Linked DNA regions of Anolis sagrei. The protein of the gene in region 1 interacts with the protein of each later gene in a pairwise test. Links are inferred from orthologs where the notes say so. Each region holds a gene or a part of one and is shown in the gene's direction. Other genes may lie near its edges.

Evidence for each region.
Region 2: the proteins of LMO3 (region 1) and PELO interact in binary tests that used the Homo sapiens proteins (3 or more experiments, as listed by UniProt). The link is inferred for Anolis sagrei from reciprocal best matches to the Homo sapiens genes LMO3 and PELO.
Region 3: the proteins of LMO3 (region 1) and WWOX interact in binary tests that used the Homo sapiens proteins (3 or more experiments, as listed by UniProt). The link is inferred for Anolis sagrei from reciprocal best matches to the Homo sapiens genes LMO3 and WWOX.

Annotation. Positions count from the first base shown.
Region 1 is NC_090025.1:182,068,016-182,075,713, reverse strand, and holds the start of LMO3 (LIM domain only protein 3), read left to right. Parts: upstream 1-4,598; 5' UTR 4,599-4,931; coding exon 4,932-4,956; intron 4,957-7,698.
Region 2 is NC_090022.1:273,861,638-273,868,876, reverse strand, and holds the start of PELO (protein pelota homolog), read left to right. Parts: upstream 1-4,207; 5' UTR 4,208-4,565; coding exon 4,566-5,291; intron 5,292-7,239. UniProt on the Homo sapiens protein: Component of the Pelota-HBS1L complex, a complex that recognizes stalled ribosomes and triggers the No-Go Decay (NGD) pathway.
Region 3 is NC_090028.1:14,082,688-14,089,724, reverse strand, and holds the start of WWOX (WW domain-containing oxidoreductase), read left to right. Parts: upstream 1-4,005; 5' UTR 4,006-4,135; coding exon 4,136-4,242; intron 4,243-7,037. UniProt on the Homo sapiens protein: Putative oxidoreductase. Acts as a tumor suppressor and plays a role in apoptosis. Required for normal bone development. May function synergistically with p53/TP53 to control genotoxic stress-induced cell death.

The DNA of each region.
Region 1 (7,698 bases):
TCTGCTGGCTGTTGTATTGGATCACACCTCAGACACTTTCCAAGTGTCTAGAACTGTGTGATGTATATTATTATTATTATTATTATTATTATTATTATTATTATTATTTATTAGGGTTGGTGCATTATCTGGCCTTAGGAAGAGCCAGGCTGATGACAAACCCCTCCTAGGCTTCAAAAGCTTTGCAAAGCACCTTTTCTCATAATGGGTGTCATTCATTTTCTCTTTAAGGGATGGGGGATTCTGACATCTTTAAGGAGGGGGAAAAAAACCTTTGTGGCAATCTTGGTGTGAGGCTCTTAATGGCAGGCAAGCGAGGGTCGCTTTGAAGTCTGGCAAAAGGCGCTGGCAAATTCTTAATCGGTTTCTTCCCCCCTTTTTTCCCCTCTCCCAGCTGTAGGGTTGACTCTTTTCAAAAGGGAAGGCGCCTGGGGGGAGGTGGGGGGTTATTTACACCAGAAGGAGGCTCTACGTGGGGTCGGGAAGGGGGGGGATAGGAAGCCCCATCTCTTAATATTTTGTGAGAGGGAGCAGCATCCAGCACTGCACTGAAATGTGTATGCTTTCAATCCCGGGCCTGAAACTTAGCTCAGGTTGAGAGCATCCAGCCTTGGTGGATGTCTAGAGCAGGCCTGGGCCAACTTGGGGACCTCTAGATGTTTTGGACTTCAACTCCCACCATTCCTAACAGCCTCAGGCCCCTTCCTTTTCCCCCTCAGCCGCTTAAGCGGCTGAGGGGGAAAAGGAAGGGGTCTGAGGCTGTTAGGAATGGTGGGAGTTGAAGTCCAAAACACCTAGAGGTCCCCAAGTTGGCCCAAACCTGTTCTACCCCTTCTTCAAAACCTCCCTGTTGCAATTCCTGAACTAGTCCCCAAAAGGTCCTTTGAAAGGATGTATAAGAAGAAGCCAAGGTGGTTTTCTGCTGCTCCAGAGACTAGGAAACAGAGCAATGGATTCACATTGTAGAGAAGAGAGATCCCACCTAAACATTAGGAAGAACTTCCTGGCAGGAAGAGCTGTTGTTCAACAGTGGAATGTGGTGCTTTAGTGTGTTGGAGTCCCCTTCTGTGGAGGTTTTTCAGCAGAGGCGTGGAGGGCCATCTGTCAGGAATGCTTTGGTTGTATTTCCCTGAAAGAGGGAAGGGTTGAACTGGGTGGCCCTTGTGCCTCTTCCAAGTCTGGATTTCTAAGTTTTAAGGGATGGGGGAGTGAGGAAAGGCTTCAGGGTTGCTGTGAGTTTTCCAGGCTGTGTGGCCATGTTCCAGAAGCATTCTCTCCTGACATTTTGCCTGCATCTAGGGCAGGCATCCTCAGAGGTTGTGAGGCCTATTAGAAACTAGGAAAATGGAGTTTATATATTTGTGAAATGTCCAGGGTGGGAGATAGAACTCTTGTCCATTTGAGGTAGGTGTGGATGCTGCAACTGGCCACCTTGATTAGCATTGAATGGCCTAGCAGTTTCAAGGTCTGGCTTCTTACTGCCTGGGAGAATCATTTGTTGGGAGGTAAACAAGGGAGGTTTATATATCTGTGGAAGGTCCAGGGTGGGAGAAAGAACTCTTGTCTGTTGGAGGCAAGTGTGAATGTTGCAATTGGCCACCTTGATTAGCATTGCAAAGCCTTGCAGCTTCAAGCCTTTATATTATTTAAGATCATTTTCGTATGGTTTGGTATATATGTGAGAGGCAAGTGTGAATGCCTTGATTAACACCAAAAAGCCTTGCAGCTTCAAGGCCTGGCTGATTCCTTCCTGGGTGTTAGATGGCCCTCATTGTTTCCTGTCTGGAAGTCCCCTGTTTTCAGAGTGTTGTTCTTTATTTACTATTTTGATTCTGGTGGGTTTTTTAAATACTGGTCGCCAGATTTTGTTCATTTTCATGGCTTCCTCCTTTCTGTTGCAATTGCCCACATGCTTGTGTGGATTTCCATGGCTTCTCTGGGTAGTCTAATCAAGGAGGCCAACTGCAACATTCACACTTGCCTTCGACAGACAAGAGTTGGACCTTCCACAGATATATAAACCTAGTTTCCAACTGACCTCACAACCTCTAAGCATGCCTGCCATAGATGTGGGCGAAACGTCAGGAGAGAATGCTTCTGGAACCTAGCCATACAGCCCGGAAAACTCGCAGCAACCTAGTGATTCCGGCCATGAGAGCCTTCGACAACACAAAGAAAGGCTTCTCTTTTAGGATCCCTTTCCCATCTCCAACCCTTCCCTTCCTAGGAAGCCCAAGGGCCTCTCTTCCCAAAGGGGGAAACCCAGCCTTCAATGGGGGGCTCCACGTGGGAGGAAAGTGACAGGCGCCACGAAGGAGCTCTTGGGCTCCCAACTTTGGGGGAAGGGAGAGCGGCCCTCTCGTCTCCTGGGAATGTGGCAGGGATTTCTTGCAGAGAGAAGGGGATTTGAGTGGGGGGCTTCTCCCTCCCTCCCCCCCCCCCCAATCCCAGCTTGGTGGCTCGTGCCTGGCGCCTGCAGCTGCTTTCCTCCGACTTGAACTCGCCGCCTCGTAAACTGTTCACTGGGGGGGGGGGGGGGGGTGAGCGACAAAGCCCAATCTGTCTCCGGGCTGCTTTGCGCTGTGGCGAGCGGGCTTTGCGGCTTGCGAGAGGGAGGCGGGGGGCGACGAGGAGGAGGGGAAGGAGGGAAGGAGGGGGTTGGGGGAGAGAGGAGGGGGGCTGTGTGTGCGTGCGTGAGAGAGAGAGAGAGAGAGAGAGAGAGGAAGGAGGTAAATAGCCTGCTACCGGACGCCAGTTCCTCAGCTCCTCTCCTGCTTCTCCAAATCCCACTCCACGCCGAGAACACGAGTGACCTTTCTCCCCCCCTTTGCTGTATTATGTCTGGCTGGTTAAGGGATTGCGTCCTGCAGTTGGTTCAGCCCCTGACTTCTTCCAGCTCGGCTCAAAGCACGCTGCTGCTTTAGGTAAGTTCTTTCTCTCCTCCCTCCTTCCCTCCTCCCTCTCTCTTCTTTCCTTCTCTCTCTCTCTCGGTCCCGATTTCCAAGGCTTCCTTTGGCTTGAGCCTAAACCCACAGGCATCCTTGTCCCCCTTCCCTAGAAAGGCCACCTGTAGCTGGGGCTCCGTTTCTTTAGTTTTTGGGGGGAAGAGAAGCAGGCGCCCTCTTTCTGCGCCCCTCCTTCTCTCCGCGTCCGCTCAACTCCTTCCTTTCCTCTCTTCCCTTCTATCCTTTCCTCTCTTTCCTTCCTTCCTCTTCCCTTCCTTCCTCTCTTCCCTTCCTTTCTTCCTCTCTTCCCTTTCTTATTTCCATTCCTTCCTTTCCTCTCCTTCCTTCCTTCCTCTCTTCCCTTCCTTTCTTCCTCTCTTCCCTTTCTTACTTCCATTCCTTCCTTTCCTCTCTTCCCTTCCTTACTTCCATTCCTTCCTTTCCTCTCTTTCCTTCTTTCTTTCTTTCCTTCCTTCCTTTCCTCTCTTCCCTTCCTTACTTCCATTCCTTCCTTTCCTCTCTTTCCTTCTTTCTTTCCTTCCTTCCTCTCTTCCCTTCCTTACTTCCATTCCTTCCTTTCCTCTCTTTCCTTCCATCCTTTCCTCTCTTCCCTTACCTTCCCTCCTTCTTTTCCTCTCTCCCCTTCCTTCCCTCTCTTCTCTTCCCTTCCTTCCTCTCCTCTCTCCATCCTTCCTTCCTTCCTTCCCTTCCCTCCCTCCTCTTTTCTCTTTCTCTTCTTTCCCCCTCCGACCATGCTGCGCGCAATCTCTGTCCTTCCCCAAGGAGAGCGCCTCGAAAGTGGCATCTAGGGGTCCCGAAGTGACTTTGCCCGTGTCGAGTGGAGAAGGTAAGTTGGGGCCAGTGGGAGCCTGAGGCGGGAAGGGAGGGCTCTGGGTCAGGATGTGGGGCTTGGGGCTTCCTCTCTTTCCCCCTCCTGGCCCCCATACCATACCCACCCCTCTCTCCTCCTTTCTTCCTCTTTCCTCTTGCTGCCCTGCAACTTTGGGCTGGAAGCACTTTGGGGAGGTGTGTGTGTGCGCTTTTGACTCGTCTGGTTTTGGCCGGGCACCGGAGAGTCCTGGCTCGGACTTTGGGGAAGGAAGGGCCCGCTTGGCGTGGCTAGTTGGAACAAAGTCAAACAATGGAGCCCAGGCTGGCCTTTTCCTGCCCCGAAGCGGCGAGCGCGCCTCTCCAACGCCGTGGCGAGAGAGAGAGAGAAAGAGAGCAGCTGCTTTCCTTCCTCGCCTTCCTTCCAACCCTTTCCCCCTCTCCTCTAGATAGGAACCGGGTTCCCTTTCTCTTCTTTCCAAACCCCAACTCTTTCATAAAGAGGCTCGAAACGGTGTGGACAGGGCGCAATGTTGAGCCCTTCCTGCCCTCTCCATTCGCGATCAATTTGGAGAAAGATCGGAGCTTGGAAAGCAGCCTCCCCGGCTTTTGTCATGGAGATCTCTTCCTACTCTTTACTCGTCTCTCTTCTCTCTCTCTCTCTCTGATCTCCAGCCCCAATCCTTCCTTTCTGGCTGGGATGTTTCCTCCTACTATTGTGGCATGGCTCTTCCTTCCAAACCCCGAGATCGGGAAAGAAGAGAGTTCAGGGAGCCACCGGGATCTGTCCTCCTTTCGCCACTATCATCACTCTCTCTCACACACACGGATTTCCCTAAGAGGACTTCACGCTGGCAAAGGCGTCCTGCGTGTGTGTCTGTGGCTGTGTGTGTGAGAGAGAAAGCGAGTGCGCGCGGCTTTTCCTCGCAGCCCAAGCGTCGCCTTCTTCCCAAGTGCTTCTCTCTGCACAATAGCCCTTCTCTCCCTCCTCTTTCTCTTCTCTCTTTCGCCTCCTTCCTTCCCCGGTGTCCAGCACTCTCCTCTTCCACTGGACCCACACGGGGAGGAAGAGGGGGCTGGGGAGGCTGGCCTGCTTGCCCATTGCCTTGCCTGGGCTCAAAGCGAAGCAGCTCCCTGGGAAGTCCCTGCCATCCCCTCATGCAGAAAAAGGAGAAAAGTTTTGGTAAGGTTGTTGTCATCGCGTCTTCGGGTGTGTGAGTTGTCTGTCCGTCTCTCCCTCCCTCTAGCATCCCTGTGTCTATATGTGTGTGTCTATACTCTATATATCTATTTCGAGGGAGGAACAGGGGGAAAGCAAAGCTACCCTTTGGCCATCCATCCAAGCCTGTCCTGAACTGTCCTGTTGGACAGGATGGTGTTTTCTGCAAACGCCTTGGGTCGGGGATCTCCAAACACAACCCCTCCTGATCTGATTTAGGAATTGTGATGGATCTCTTTCTTTTCCCCTTCTCCCTGCCGCATTACTAATACTAATAACTAGGACAACAAAGCCAAGGCACAGGCTGTCCTTGCCTGGCTCTGGCAGGGGTGATGAGAAGAGCCAGAATTGTGTTAGAGATACAAAAGAGGAGGGGTCTTTGTTGTTAAAGTGTGTGTTTCCTCTGTCCTGCTCCTGTGTCTGTCTATGTGGGTGAGAATGTGTGTGTATTAATTTTTCTCCCCTTTTTTTTTCTTTTTTTTGCATGTGAACTGCATCAAAATTGAGCTCACTCTTGCAAATCTCTTGTTGGCCTTTGCCAACCACTAGCACTTTGCTGCCATGGTAACTGTAATTAAACTGATAAGAGTGGAAAAATGTCAGTATCTCTCTGAGTCTTACAGCTGCATTGGAAGAAAGGAGGGGAGGAGAGAATCAAATTGGCTTCCAGCAGCACCGCATTCAGTTTGGAAAGGGGCAGAGGGGGGGGGGGGGAGGTGGAAGGAAAATGGGAGGGGGAAAAGTGGTGTATTAAACAGTTTATGGGTGACAGACTTTAAAGAAAACAGCCACACTTGAGTTCTTGGCGTGGGATGGATATATATATATATATATATATATATGAGGAAGACAGAGAGAGATGTTTGCACTTCCTATCCCTCTGAGAGCTGGAGGATATAGAGAAGATGTGGGCCAATGAACAGAGAAACAAGCTTTTAGGCCCGAAACCAAATGGCTTTTCAGAAATAGAGGAGGTGACAAGGAGGGGAGGGCGGAAAGTGAGGAGGAAGCCTTTTGTCATTCTTGGCAGAACCAATTTCTTTCTTCTGAGCTGGTGTTAGGTTTTTGTTTTGTTTTTTTGTGTGTGTGGAACAACTTGAGAAACTGCAAGTCGCTTCTGGTGTGAGAGAATTGGCCATCTGCAAGGACGTTGCCCAGGGGATGCCCGGATGTTTTGATGTTTTGCCATCCTTGTAGGATTTGCAGTTCCTCAAGTTGCTCCTGACATGAAAAAAAATCCTTGTGGGAGGTTTCTCTCATGTTCCCACATGGGGAGCTGGAGCTGACAGATGGAGCTCATCCGTGCTCTCCCTAGATTCAAACCTCTGACCTGTCAGTCTTTAGTCCTGCCAGCACAAGGGTTTAACCCATTGCGCCACTGGGTGCTAGTTATGTGATGGCATATCTAGCTGCAAAAAATGCCACCTTACCCTAATCTGTACCCTACCCTACCCTCCTCTTTCTTCAAAGCTGCACCCAAAGTTCCCAGCAAGTATGGCAGAAATGTGGTGGTCTTGTGAGGGAGAGAGTGCTGGCGGTGTGCATGTGTGTGGTTTTGAAAACAAAATGTCCTTGCTTGAGGATGACAGCAATTAGCGTGAAGTAGACAAAAAGTCCCATGTTCCGAATGGCAAAAGGTGGCAGGGTGAAGTCCTGGGTGTTACGGAGTTGCGATCACTTTGTTGTGTTTGTATCTGAAAGTGTAGGGAGGGTATGAGGGGAGATGAATGGCACAGAGCTAGGGAACATAATGGAGGCAATGGAGCATTGGGGTGGCGCACAATGCAATCCTGGCAATTAAAAACTCACCAGAGTTTTTGAAATGCAATGGCTCCTGCTTCTTCTTGGCTTGCCACGCTGCATGGCTATTATTCCATGTGTCTGTCTCCATCTCTCTCCCTCTTTAATTATGATTTCCCTTAACCTGTCAAACAATTCAAATGTAGCAGGGGCCTCTGAGGCAATAGGATTTTCTTCCCCCCACCAAACAATTTGCATGCCAGTCTGAAGGACTCCTGAGGTGTGGGGAGGAATTCCAGAACGTGCCTGTTTATCAAAATGGCTTTTTGTCGAAATAGGCATTCCTTCCTTGAATAAGTGTGTGTTACCGAGGGAGTTCCAGCAGCTACTTTTTGAGCATTGGATTAGCACTCCCCCGAACTTCAGCGCTCAAATACTTCTGCACGCCCAACAGCCTTTAAGTTGGAGCATCCTAGCTTTGGAAAGGGTCTTAAATTGTTAAGGTTGCTGCCTTATGCACATTTATGCAGAGAGCCCAAGTCCCTCTGAAATCAATTTTGTCCGCTTCTCAGTAAATATGTACAACGTCATGTCTTGTTCATAGGTATTTAGTAGGCACTGTGCAGTTTTGCCTCACAGCCCAACCCTATATATTTCTGTTTGCAAGTCAATCTTAGTAGAGAGAGAATGTGATATGTTCACAATTCATGGCCACCCTTTGCGTTTCGATGGCGAACAGAAGCAAACTTCGAAGGTCTTGGTTAGCATGGAAACATTCTGCATAAGGAACTGGGTATGCTCTTTTGCTAATGGATAGGACTAGGCTGAAAATCATAACTCAGCGGCCCCAATTAATATTTCTTGCAATCTGGGATGGGTGTTGTGAAGGGGAGAATTAGGAAATGGAGAAAGAGAGAGCTGTGTTGAATTCTCTACCCAGTCCAAGTGTTCAGGGAGCAGGTTAAA
Region 2 (7,239 bases), on another chromosome or scaffold:
TTCAACATTTAAGTCTGACTATTGCTCAACTGTTCAATGGGAAAGGGCAATGAATCACCACCAGCTTTTGCCAGCTGAGTCAGAAAGCCATGCCCAGCACAACCACATAAAGGGAGTTTATGTTTAACTAGGACATTTGCATGTTCCACTATTTTCCACTATTTGGGTGGTGTACTGCCCACTTCTGAACCTGCTTGGAAACTTTTAAAAAGTGGATTTCTTCCCCACTGCTGAGTTCTGCTTTTCCTAGGAACATACCATCATAAATAACTCAAAGCCTGGATTAGGCCCATATTCCAATTATTAAGATGACTGTGCATAAACCACTCGAACAGCCTTTTGGTTAAAAAAAATAAAATCAGTTAAAAGACATAGATTAATCTTTGCCTTTTCTACCTATCCTACAAAGTCAGACCCCACTGGCCACAAGAAGAAGGAAAAAAAAACCCCTTTCTGCTACTGGAATCATTTGTCAGTTATCCCTTGGGCAAAGTTGGGCCGCCCAGGTGTTTTGGACTTCAACTCCCGCAATTCTTAACAGCCTCAGGCTTAAGCGGCTGAGGGGGGAAAGGAAAGGGCCTGGGGCTGTTAGGAATTGTGGGAGCTGAAGACCAAAACACCTGGGTGGTCCAAGTTTGTCCAGGCCTGCATTAAAAAATATCTAAGGCAATGTATTGTTGAAGGCTTTCATGGCCGGAATCACTGGGTTGTTATAGGTTTTTTTGTGAATTTCAATGGCTTCTCTGTGTAGTCTGATATGGTGGTTGTGAGAGTGGTCCAGCATTTCTGTGTTCTCAAATAATATGCTGTGTCCTGGTTGGGTCATCAGGTGCTCTGCTATGGCTGACTTCTCTGGTTGAAGTAGTCTGCAGTGCCTTTCGTGTTCCTTGATTCGTGTTTGGGCGCTGCGTTTGGTGGTCCCTATAGACTTATCCACAGCTGCATGGTATACAGTAGACTACCTTATACCATGCAGCTGTGGACAAGTCTACATAGGGACCACTAAACGCAGCGCCTAAATATGAATCAAGGAACATGAAAGGGAGTACAGACTACTTCAACCAGAGAAGTCAGCCATAGCAGAGCACCTGATGACCCAACCAGGACACAGCATATTATTTGAGAACACAGAAATGCTGGACCACTCTAACAACCACCATGTCAGACTACACAGAGAAGCCATTGAAATTCACAAGCATGTGGACAATTTCAACAGAAAGGAGGAAACCATGAAAATGAAAAAAATCTGGCTACCATTAAAAAACTCTAAAATTACAACAGCAAAACAATAGAGAGGAAACAATCAGGGACATCTAATCACCTCTCAACAATAGATTGCCCCAGGCACTAACAAGCCACACCAGGCCATCAAATGCTTGTCAAGGTTAGCATTTAATTTGTGTTAGATCTTAGTTTGTTCTTGTAAGTAGCTCCAAGCCCTAGGGGAGTGGCGGCATATAAGTTTGAAATATAAATAAATAAAGGTGGTCAGTTGAAACATTCACACCTAGCTCCAGCAGACAAGAGTCCTTTGTCCCACCCTGGTCATTCCACGGATATATAAACCCTTTTTCCTAGTTCCAACAGACCTCACTACCTCTGAGGATGCTTCCCATAGATGCAGGTGAAATGTCAGGAGAGAATGCCTTAGAACATGCCCATATAGCCCAAAAAAACCTACAACAACCCAAATCTAAGGCAGCTATCAGGCAGTAACATGAATATCTAGATATTGTAGGATGACTGTGGTACCATGTCCATGCATCAGAGGCCTACCAGCATCCTTCCACAGCCTCTTGACTGTTAAGTCTCCAAACATCTGAGCTGAAAAACAAGCCTGATAATTGTCTCCTGCCTACATTGTCAGTTGGGAGGCTTCTCCCCCCCCCCCCCCCCCCACCAACGGCTGCTCTGGCCAGAGTGAAGAGAGAGGGGGCTATCTTGTCTCCTGTGGTTTCCTAATAATATAATATATTGTGTATACATATATTTATAATATTATAATGGAGCCTCCGGTGGTGCAGTGGGTTAAACCCTTGTGCTGGCAGGACTGAAGATCAACAGGTCGCAGGTTCAAATCCGGGGAGAGGCAGATGAGCTCCCTCTCTCAGCTCCAGCTCCTCATGCGGGAATGAGAGAAGCCTCCCACAAGGATGACAAAAACATCAAATCATCCAGGCGTCCCCTGGGCAACGTCCTTGCAGAAGGCCAATTCTCTCACACAAGGAGTCACTCCTGACACGACAAGAAAAAATTATAATGTACTACAATAATAACAATACAATATTATAATTATATATATTTATATTACATTTAATATTAGTAATAATATTACAATATAATGGTGTAGTACAATATAGTAATATATAATACTGATATTGATATTATTATGCTAATAATATAATATATTGTATATGTGTGTGTGTGTGTGTATGTATGTGTGTGTGTATATATATATATATATATATATATATATATATATATATATTGTAAGCCGCTCTGAGTCCCCTTCGGGGTGAGAAGGGTGGCATATAAATGTTGTAAATAAATAAATAAATAAGTGGAGGAAGATACTTGAGGTGTAAATGAATTCCTATAAATTAAACGAATCTATGAGAGAGAACACAGAATATCAACAACAATAATAAATAATAATACAATAGCAGCTCCAGCAGACAAGAGTCCTTTGTCCCACCCTGGTCTTTCCACAGATATATAAACCCTTTTTCATAGTTCCAACAGACCTCACTACCTCTTGAGGATGCTTGCCATAGATGCAGGCGAAACGTCAGGAGAGAATGCCTCTAGACCATGGCCATATAGTCTGAAAAAACCTACAACAACCCAACAATAATAAACTTCCAAATAATCACGGCAGCTATTTTTAGTATGAAAGAGGGTATGCGTGTTTTGCGAGGGGGGTAAACTGATAACTCAGGTTTCCAACAGTCCTCATAACATGAGGATTTTATTTTTTTATTTATCGAGTCATCACCACCTAGTCAATTATATTACATTTCTAACAGAACAAAGCAAACAAACAGACAAAATACAAAATTTTTGAGTTTGGTAGTTGATTAAATGTCCTTTGACCAGTAGCTGGCCACTTGGAGTGCTTCTGGTGTTGCTGCAAGAAGGTCCTCCATTGTGCAAGTGGCAGGGCTCAGGTTGCATTGCAGCAGGTGGTCAGTGGTTTGCTCCTCTCCACATTCGCATGTCGAGGATTCCACTTTGTAGCCCCATTTCTGAAGGTTGGCTCTGCATCTCGTGGTGCCAGAGCGCAGTCTGTTCAGCGCTTTCCAAGTCGCCCAGTCCTCTGTGTGCCCAGGGGGGAGTCTCTCATTTGGTATCAGCCATTGATTGAGGTTCTGGGTTTGAGCCTGCCACTTTTGGACTCTCGTTTGCTGAGGTGTTCCAGCGAGTGTCTCTGTAGATCTTAGAAAACTAAGATGTACAGAGGGACATGAGAGAAGCCTCCTCACAGGATTGCAAGACATCCGGGCGTCCCCTGGGCAATGTCTTCATAGACGGCTGATTCTCTCGCCACAGAAGCGACCAGCATGCAAACCTGAGGATGCCTGCCATAGATGTGGGTGAAACGTCAGGAGAGAATGCTTCTGGAACATGGCCAGACAGCCCAGAAAACTCACAGCAACCTAACCCAAATTAACGTAAAGTCACTCAAAACTAAATGAAAGCACTTCTAACTCCCGCTTTCCTTCTCCTCCTCCTCCTCTCCAACAACTGGCTATTATTATTTGTCTGTCAGGAGCGACTTGAGAACCTGCAAGTCGCTTCTGGTGTGAGAGAATTGGCCGCCTGCAAGGACGTTGCCCCACACCCGGATGATTGATGTTTTTAATCATCCTTGTGGGAGGCTTCTCTCATGCCCCCGCATGAGGAGCTGGAGCTGATAGAGGGAGCTCATCCGCCTCTCCCCGGATTCGAATCTGCGACCCGTCGGTCTTCAGTCCTGCCGGCACAGGGCTTAACCCACTGCGCCACCGGGGGCTCCGACTCAGCAACGACTCAACCAATCAGCTTTGCGTTCGGCGTCTCGGTCACGCCTCGCTGTCTCTCTTTATGGTTGGCCCCCTTATTGCGCATGCGCTGTTGCGGACGCTACTCGTATTTGCCTAGATTTCTCCTTGACGCGGTTTTTTTTTGAGGAGGCGTGGCCGATGACAAGCCCCGCCCCCTTTTCCCCAGCCGGGCATTTGAGCCAGCTGAGGACAAATTCAGCGCTGGGTTGCCTGTGACGCTTTGACGAGGGGGCGTGGCTTAGGGGAAGCTCCTCCCTCTTTTCTCCTCTTCTCAGACGAGCAATATGCCGAGATGGTGAAGAGGAAGCAAACTCGGGCAAAGACACCTTATCGAAAATTTGGCTCAGGCGGCGTGGAGTGTGCTAGGCCGCAATGGCTGCTTAGCAAAGAGAGTGTGTGACAACTAGGAAATCGAGGCCAGGCGGCTTTTCCCGGAGTAGGCCGCTTAGCAAGGGAACTTGTAAATCGAGGCCGGGCGGCTTTTTCCGGAGTAGGCCGCAGAGAGAGAGAGAGGCCTGCAGGATGAAGCTGTTGCGGAAGGACATGGAAAAGGACAACGCGGGGCAGGTGACGCTGGTGCCGGAGGAGGCCGAGGACATGTGGCACGCCTACAACCTGATCCAGGCGGGCGACAGCCTCCGGGCGGCCACCATCCGGAAGGTGCAGACGGAGACGTCGACGGGCAGCGTGGGCAGCAGCCGCGTCCGCACCACGCTCACCCTCTGCGTGGAGACCACCGACTTCGACTCGCAGGCCTGCCAGCTGCGCGTCAAGGGCACCAACATCCAGGAGAACGAGTTCGTCAAGATGGGCGCCTACCACACCATCGAGCTGGAGCCCAACCGCCAGTTCACGCTGGCCAAGAAGCAGTGGGACTCGGTGGCGCTGGAGCGCGTGGAGCAGGCCTGCGACCCGGCCTGGGGCGCCGACCTGGCCGCCGTGGTCATGCAGGAGGGCCTGGCCCACGTCTGCCTCGTCACGCCCAGCATGACGCTCCCCCGCGCCAAGGTGGAGGTCAGCATCCCGCGGAAGCGGAGGGGCAGCTGCGCCCAGCACGACCGCGCCCTCGAGCGCTTCTACGAGCAGGTGGCCCAGGCCATCCAGCGCCACGTCAACTTCGACGTGGTCAAGTGCGTCCTCGTCGCCAGCCCGGGCTTCGTCCGAGAGCAGTTCTGCGACTACATGTTCCAGCAGGCCGTCAAGACCGACAACAAGCTCCTCCTCGAGAACCGCTCCAAGTTCCTGCAGGTAAGGCCACTCCTCGGGCAGCAAGCATAATAATCATAATAAACGTTATTTATATCATAGTATCGTGGGTCATCCAGTCCAACCCCCTGCCAAAAAGCAGGAAAATCGTTTCAAAGCACCCCCAACAGATGGCCATCCGGCCTCTGTTTAAAAGTCTCCAAAGAAGGAGCTTCCACCACACTCTGGGGCAGAGAGTTCCACTGCTGAACAGTTCTGACAGTCACACTCTGGGGCAGAGAGTTTCGCTCCTGAACATCTCTGACAGGTAAGGCAACGCCTGGGGCAGCAATAACAATAATAATAATAATAACAATAATAATAATAATAATATCAAAGGCAACGCCTGGGGCAGCAATAATAATAATAATAATAGTAATAAGTGTTATTTATATCATAGTATGGTGGGCCATCCAGTCCATCCCCCTGCCAAAAAAAACAGGAAAATCGCTTTCAAAGCACCCTCAACAGATGGCCGTCCAGCCTCTGTTTAAAAGTCTCCAAAGAAGGAGCCTCCACCACACTCTGGGGCAGAGAGTTCCACTGCTGAACAGCTCTGACAGGTAAGGCAACACCAGGGGCAGCAATAATAATAATACTTTCAAAGCACCCCTTTCACTTTCAAAGCACCCCCCAACAGATGGCCGTCCAGCCTCTGTTTAAAAGTCTCCAAAGAAGGAGCCTCCACCACACTCTGAGGCAGAGAGTTCCACTGCTGAACAGCTTTCACAGTCAGGACGTTCTTCCTAATATTCAGGTGGAATCTCCTGTATTGTAGTTGGAAGCCATTGGTCCGCATCCTAGTCTCCAGGGCAGCAGAAAACAACAACAACAATAATAATACTTTATTTCTATATCACCCTCTCTCCCAAGAGGGATGCAGGCCTGTTTACACATATAAAAAGCATTCAATGCCTCTAGGTGAGTGCAAACGTAACAAATAATACACAGTAAAACAACAGGTATAACAGTAAGCTTACAACAAAGAATTAAGTATTGTGTTGAAAAATAAAATGATCCAATAAAGTGTCATCCTCCTCTCTATACACTAAAGTGCAAAGGTGCATTTTTATAAGTTTCTTAAAAGAGAGGAGGGTGGTGGCTGTTTTTACTTCTTTAGGAAGGGAGTTCTAGAGACTGGGAGTGATCATGTAGAAGGTCCCCTCTCTCGTTCCCTTGAGACTGGGGTGGGACCAAGAGGAGGGAACAAGCTTTCTCCCCTCACACGTTTATACATGTCTTCTCTCAGCCTTCTCTTCTGCAGGCTAAACATGCCCAACTCTTTAAGCCGCTCCTCATAGGGCTTGTTGTCCAGACCCTTGATCATTTTAGTTGCCCTCCTCTGGCCACATTCCAGCTTGTTGAGATCTCCCTTCAATTACGGTGCCCAGAATTAGACACAGTGTGATTCCAGGTGTGGTCTGACCAAGGCAGAATAGAGGGGTAGCGTGACTCCCCTGGATCTAGACACTTTGTTCCTATTTATGCAGGCCAAAATCTCATTGGCTTTTTTAGCTGCCACATGACATTCCTGGTTCATGTTTAACTTGTCCACGATGGCTGCCAAGATCTTTTTCACACATACTGCAGTCAAGCCAAGTATCCCCCATTCTGTATCTTTGCATTTCATTTTTTCCTACCTAAGTGGAGTATCTTGCATTTGTCCCAAAGGGACTTGGAGCGGCTTGCAACAAAAACCCATATAAAGCACAGAAACACATTACAATCCAGGCCATAGTAAAAGCACAACAATTACAAAAAAAATGAATAACAGCAGGCAAGTTGAGTATAACTACGGTAACCCTTGAGGCTGAGGAAATTAGTAGCTGATGCCAGTCTACTGCATCAAGTCATCTCAAGCTCAAAGGCTACATCTTCTACACCAGTCCTGGGCAAACTTGGGCTCTTCCAGTGTTTGTAACTGCTCCTTAGGCATTTGTAACTTCCAGCA
Region 3 (7,037 bases), on another chromosome or scaffold:
GACATGCTGGTCGCTTCACACACTGCTGGTCGCAGCACACCCAAATACCTGGGAGTCACTCTGGACCATGCTCTTACCTACAAGAAGCACTGACTGAACATCAAGCAAAAAGTGGGTGCCAGAAACAATATCATACGAAAGCTGACTGGCACAACCTGGGGATCACAACCAGATACAGTGAAGACATCTGCCCTTGTGCTATCCTACTCTGCTGCTGAGTATGCATGCCCAGTGTGGAACACATCTCACCACACTAAAACAGTGGATGTGGCTCTTAATGAGACATGCCGCATTATCACGGGGTGTCTGTGCTCTACACCACTGGAGAAATTACACTGCTTAGCCGGTATTGCACCACCTGACATCCGCCGGGAAGTAGCAGCCAATAGTGAAAGGACCAATGCAGAGACCTCTCCAGCTCATCCCGTTTGAGTATCAGCCAGCACGTCAACGACTTAAATCTAGAAATAGTTTTCTAAGATCTACAGAGACACTCTCTGGAACACCTCAGCAAGTGAGAGTCCAAAAGTGGCAGGCTCAAACCCAGAACCTCAACCAATGGCTGATACCAAGTGAGAGACTACCCCCTGGGCACACAGAGGACTGGGCGACTTGGAAGGCGCTGAACAGGCTGCGCTCTGGCACCACGAGATGCAGAGCCAACCTTCAGAAATGGGGCTACAAAGTGGAATCCTCGACATGCGAGTGTGGAGAGGAGCAAACCACAGACCACCTGCTGCAATACAACCTGAGGCCTGCCACATGCACAATGGAGGACCTTCTTCCAGCAACACCAGAAGCACTCCAAGTGGCCAGATACTGGTCAAAGGACATTTAACCAACTACCAATCTCACAAGTTTCGTATTTTGTCTGTTTGTTTGCTTTGTTCTGTTAGAAATGTAATATGATGAACTGGTTGCTCTGACACGACAAATAAAAAATGAGGGGGCATGAGAGAAGCCTCCCACAAGGATGGTAAAAACATCAAAACATCCCCTGGGCAACGTCCTTGCAGACAGCCAATTCTCTCATACCAAAAGCGACTTGCAGTTTCTCAAGTCGCTCCTGACATGACAAAACAAACAAACAAATAAAAAACACCTATGTTCACCTTGCAAAATTTCCAGCTATTTTCTTTGAATTTGCAGAGAAGTCATGCTACCCCTCTATTCTGCCTTGGTTAGACCACACCTGGAATATTGTGTCCAATTCTAGGCACCACAATTGAAGAGAGATATTGACATGCTGGAATGTGTCCAGAGGACTGCTAAAATGATCAAGGGTCTGGAGCCCTATGAGGAGCGGGTTAAAGCGTTGGGCATGTTTAGCCTGAAGAAGAGAAGGCTGAGAGGAGACATGTTATAATATGTGAGAGGAAATCATAGGGAGGAGGGAACAAGCTTGTTTTCAGCTTCCCTGGAGACTAGGACACAGAAGAATGGCTTCAAACTACAAGAAAGGAGATTCCATCTGAACATGAGGAAGAACTTCCTGACTGTGAGAGCCGTTCAGCAGTGGAACTCTCTGCTCTGGAGTGTGGTGGAGGCTCCTTCTTTGGAAGCCGATCCAGTTCAGAGCACAATTCAAAGCGCTGATTTTGACCTACAAAACCCTATACGGTTCCGGCACAGCGTACCTGTCCGAACGGATCTCCCTCTATGTCCCACCTCGGAGTTTAAGATCTTCTGGGGAGGCTCTGCTCTCGGCCCCGCCTCTATTACAAGTGAGATTGGCGGGGACGAGGAGCAGGGCCTTCTTGGTGGTGGCCCCCCACCTGTGGAATTCGCTCCCAGGGGAAATTAGATCAGCGACATCACTCCTTTCCTTCAGGAAAATACTGAAAACATGGATTTGGAACCAGGCATTCGGACAATTGTGCAGATAAAGAAAGGGCTTTGAGAATGGCCAGGAAATGACTAATGGAATGGAATTTGGAACTCTGAAAGACGAACGCTGAGCATGTGAATAGTTTTTATATGATGTGATGTATAGTGATTGTTATGATTGTTTTAACTGTGATAATTGTTTTAACTATGGTTTTGTACACTATGTATAATTTTTGTATAGGCATCAAATTGTGCCTTTTGTAACCCGCCCTGGGTCCCCCCTCGGGGGTTGAGAAGGGCGGGGTAAAAGTACCCGAAATAAATAAATAAATAAATATCAGATATTTACATTACTATTCATAACAGTAGCAAAATGACAATTATGAAGTGGCAACGAAAATAATGTTATGGTTGTGGGTCACCACAACATGAGGAACTGTATTAAGGGGTCGCAGCATTAGGAAGGTTGAGAAACACTGCTCTATGGAGATACCCTCACTGATACAGCTTCAGCTTCATGACTACTCAAATCTTGCAACATTCATACTTGCTTTAAACAGACAAGAGTTCTTTCTCCCACCCTGGATTATTCCACAGGTATAGAAACACTCCACTTTCTTCACTGCTAACAGGCCAGGAAATCAGAAGACGCTTACTTCTTGGGAGGAGAGCAATGTCCGGTCTCGATAAAATAGTAAAGAGTAGAGACATCACACTGGCAACAAAGATCCGCCTAGTCAAAGCCATGGTATTCCCTGTAGTCACCTACGGATGTGAGAGCTGGACCTTAGGGAAGGCTGAGCGAAGGAAGAGAGATGCTTTTGAGCTGTGGTGTTGGAGGAAAGTTCTGAGAGTGCCTTGGACTGCGAGAAGATCCAACCAGTCCATCCTCCAGGAAATAAAGCCCGACTGCTCATTGGAGGGAAGGATACTAGAGACAAAGTTGAAGTACTTTGGCCACATCATGAGGAGACAGCAAAGCCTGGAGAAGACAATTATGCTGGGGAAAGTGGAAGGCAAAAGGAAGAGGGGCCGACCAAGGACAAGATGGATGGATGGCATCCTTGAAGTGACTGGACTGACCTTGAAAGAGCTGGGGGTGGTGACGGCCGACAGGGAGCTCTGGCGTGGGCTGGTCCATGAGGTCACGAAGAGTCGGAGACGACTAAACGAATGAACAACAACAACAGGACCTCTGAAGATGCCATTAACCACAGATGCAGGCGAAACGTCAGGAAGGAATGCTGCTGGAACAAGGCCAAAAAACTCACAGCAATCCAGTGATTCTGGCCATAAAAGACTTATATCTGCCCTGAATTGGGTTATCTCAGGCCCCTACCACACGTTATAAAACCCCACATTATCTGCTTCGAACTGGATTATATAGCAGTGTGGACTCAGGGCCCGTCCACACAGCCATATAACCAAGAATATCAAGGGAGAACATCCCACAATATCTGCTCTGAACTGGGCTATCTGAAGCCCCTTCCATACAGCTGAATAAAATCCCACATTTTCTGCTCTGAACTGGAATATATGGCAGTGTGGACTCAGATAACTCAGTTCAAAGCAGGTATTGTGGGATTTCTTGCCTTGATATTCTGGGATATTGGGCTGTGTGGAAGGGCCCTTCAGTTAATGAAGCCACAACAGGAAGCAGCCAGGCTTTGAAGCTGCAAGGTCATTCAATGCTAATCAAGGTGGCCAATTTTAACATCCACACTTGCCTCCAACAGACAAGAGTTCTTTCTCCCACGCTGGACATTATTCCACAGATGTATAAACCTCATTTGCCTAGTTTCCAACAGACCTCACAACCTCTGAGGATGCCTGCCACAGATGTGGGCAAAACGTCAGGAGAGAATGCTTCTGGGACATACAGCCCAGAAAACTCACAGCAACCCACAACAGATAGTTATTGTAGAGGAGATAATGTCACAACAGAGTAAATCCTCTCCCCTTCCCTTTTAAAATCTTTTCAGAGATAGAAAGAAAAACTTCCCATTCCCAAACAGAACCGCCTGGCTCTTCTGACTCATCCCACGCTCGATTGTTTTCCTAGGACAGGCGCACGTGTCTTTTTGGCCCCAAGACTACATTTCCCAGCGTGCCCTTCGCCCTCCCCGCTCTGTGATTGGTCACCCCTAACGGAAGGGTTGCTTCATGAAAAGGGGCTCGGTGTGCAACGCTAAGGAGCAGAAAGGTTCCGCCTTAGTGGGACAGTAGGGAAGGGAGCTTTGGGGTTAGGAGCAGGGACCTTTCTTGGCCCTTTTGAGAAGAGGTTGCCTTGGAGACGGGAGAGAGCGGTATGGCGGCGCTGAAGTACGCGGGTCTGGACGACACTGACAGCGAGGAGGAGCTGCCCCCCGGCTGGGAGGAGAGGACCACCAAGGACGGCTGGGTCTACTACGCCAAGTAAGGAGACGGGGGAGCTTTGGGGGAGGCCTGGGCCAACTTGGGCCCTCCAGGTGTTTTGGACTTCAACTCCCACAATCCCTAACAGTCTCAGGCCCTTTCATTTCCCCCCTCAGCCACTTAAGTGTCTTAAAAATCTGGGTATGTTTAGCCTGCAGAAGAGATTGAGAGGAGACATGTATAAATATGTGGAAGGATGTCATAAAGAGACTTGTTTTCTGCTGCTTTGGAGATTGGGACACAATTGAGCCATGGATTCAAATGACAGGAAAGGAGATTCCACCAACATGAGGAAGAACTTCCTGACTGTAAGAGCTGTTCAGCAGTGGAACTCTCTGCCTCGGAGTGTGTCGGAAGCATCTTCCTTGGAGGCTTTTAAACAGAAGCTGGATGACCATCTGTCTGGGTATTTTAATTGAGCTTTTCCTGCATAGGAGGGGGAGGACTAGATGACTCATGTAGTCTCGTCCAACTCTATGAGGAAGAACTTCCTGACTATGAGAGCCATTCAGCAGTGGAACTCTCTGCCTCGGAGTGTGTCGGAAGCACCTTCCTTGCAGGCTTTTAAACAGAGGCTGGATGACCATCTGTCGGGGTATATAAGAACTTCCTGACTATGAGAGCCGTTCAGCAGTGGAACTCTCTGCCTCGGAGTGTGGTGGAAGCGCCTTCCTTGGAGGCTTTTAAACACAAGCTGGATGACCATCTGTCGGGGTATTTTAATTGAGCTTTTCCTGCATAGGAAGGGGTAGGACTAGATGACCCATGTGGTCTCGTCCAACTCTTTGAGGAAGAACTTCCTGACTATGAGAGCCGTTCAGCAGTGGCACTCTCTGCCTCGGAGTGTGTCGAAAGCACCTTCCTTGCAGGCTTTTAAACAGAGGCTGGATGACCATCTGTCGGGGTATATAAGAACTTCCTGACTATGAGAGCCGTTCAGCAGGGCAACTCTCTGCCTTGGAGTGTGGTGGAAGCACCTTCCTTGGAGGCTTTTAAACAGAGGCTGGATGACCATCTGTCGGGGTATATAAGAACTTCCTGACTATGAGAGGCGTTCAGCAGGGCAACTCTCTGCCTTGGAGTGTGGTGGAAGCACCTTCCTTGGAGGCTTTTAAACAGAGGCTGGATGACCATCTGTTGGGGTATTTTAATTGAACTTTTCCTGCATAGGAGGGGGTTGGACTAGACAGCCCATGTAGTCTCGTCCAACTCTATGAGGAAGAACTTCCTGACTGTGAGAGCCGTTCAGCAGTGGAACTCTCTGCCTCGGAGTGTGTCGAAGCACCTTCCTTGCAGGCTTTTAAACAGAGGCTGGATGGCCATCTGTCGGGGGTGCTTTGAATGCAATATTCCTGCTTCTTGACAGGGGGTTGGACTGGATGTCCCACGAGGTCTCTTCCAACTCTATGATTCTATAACCCTATGATTCAATGACATGCCACCAGGTAATGCACAACTCCTGCCAAAGTGCCACTTTTGACACAACGATTAAAGCCCTTTCCAGTTTCCATTCTGAAAATAGAGGGTAATTTTGGGCACCACAATTGAAGGGAGATGTTGACAAGCTGGAAAGTGTCCAGGGGAGGGCAACTAAAATGATTAGGGGTCTGGAGAACAAGCCCTATGAGGAGTGGGTTAAAGACCTGGGCATGTTTAGCCTGACGAGGAAGTCACAGGGAGGAGGGAGCAAGCTTGATTTCTGCTGCCCTGGAGACTAGGATGCAGGACAATGGCTTCAAACTACAAGAAAGGAGATTCTATCTGAACATGAGGAAGAACTTCCTGATTGTGAGAGCCGTTCAGCAGTGGAACTCTCTGCCCCGGAGTGTGGTAGAGGCTCCTTCTTTGGAAGCTTTTAAACGGAGGCTGGATGGCCATCTGTCAGGGTGCTTTGAATGCAATTTTCCTGCTTCTTGGCAGAATGGGGTTGGACTGGATGGCCCAGGAGGTCTCTTTCAACTCTAGGATTCTATGATTCCCTTTGTGGGTTGGAATGAGAGTTTGCATGTGCATGTGCCCTGCTTGGGGATATAGAAAGGAACTAAAGGTTATCAGAATGGAAATCGTAGATTGCTTCTGTATCCTTCCTTATTGGGTGGGAAACGGGATTTTCAGCATGTGTTGCTTATGACCTGTTTGTTTCAAGCAACACTTGCTCATTTTTTCTGTTTTGTTTTTTTGTGCAGCCTTGAATAAATGACACCCCAAGGGCCAGCCAGTCCAGTCTTCTGCCACGCAGGAATACTCAATCAAAGCACTCCTAACAGATGGCCGTCCAGCTTGTTTTTTAAAAACTCTAGAGAACGAGACTTCACCAGACTGAGGATATGAGTCCCACTTCCAAAGAATGAGGCTTTCCTACACTCCGGGGCAGAGAAATTTCAGTCAGGAAGTTTTTCCTAGTGTGGAAAATCTCTTTCCCTGCAATGTGAACCCATTATTTGATGTCCTGGTCTCTAAAGATGGCCAAGGGGACAGTTCCACCTTGTCTCCTGTGCTATTCTAATAATATAATATATTGCAATATAATATAGTATAATATAATATAATATATTGTATATACATATATTTATAATGTCTACGGACGACGCTGGCTCTTCGGCTTAGAAATGGAGATGAGCACCACACCCCAGAGTCAGACATGACTGGACTTAATGTCAGGGGACTACCTTTATCTATATTTATAATATTATAATGTAATGCAATATATTACTACTAATAATATATTATATATTTATATTACATGTAATCCATATAAATAAAAATGTAATGTTCGTTTGTGGGATTAACTGAAC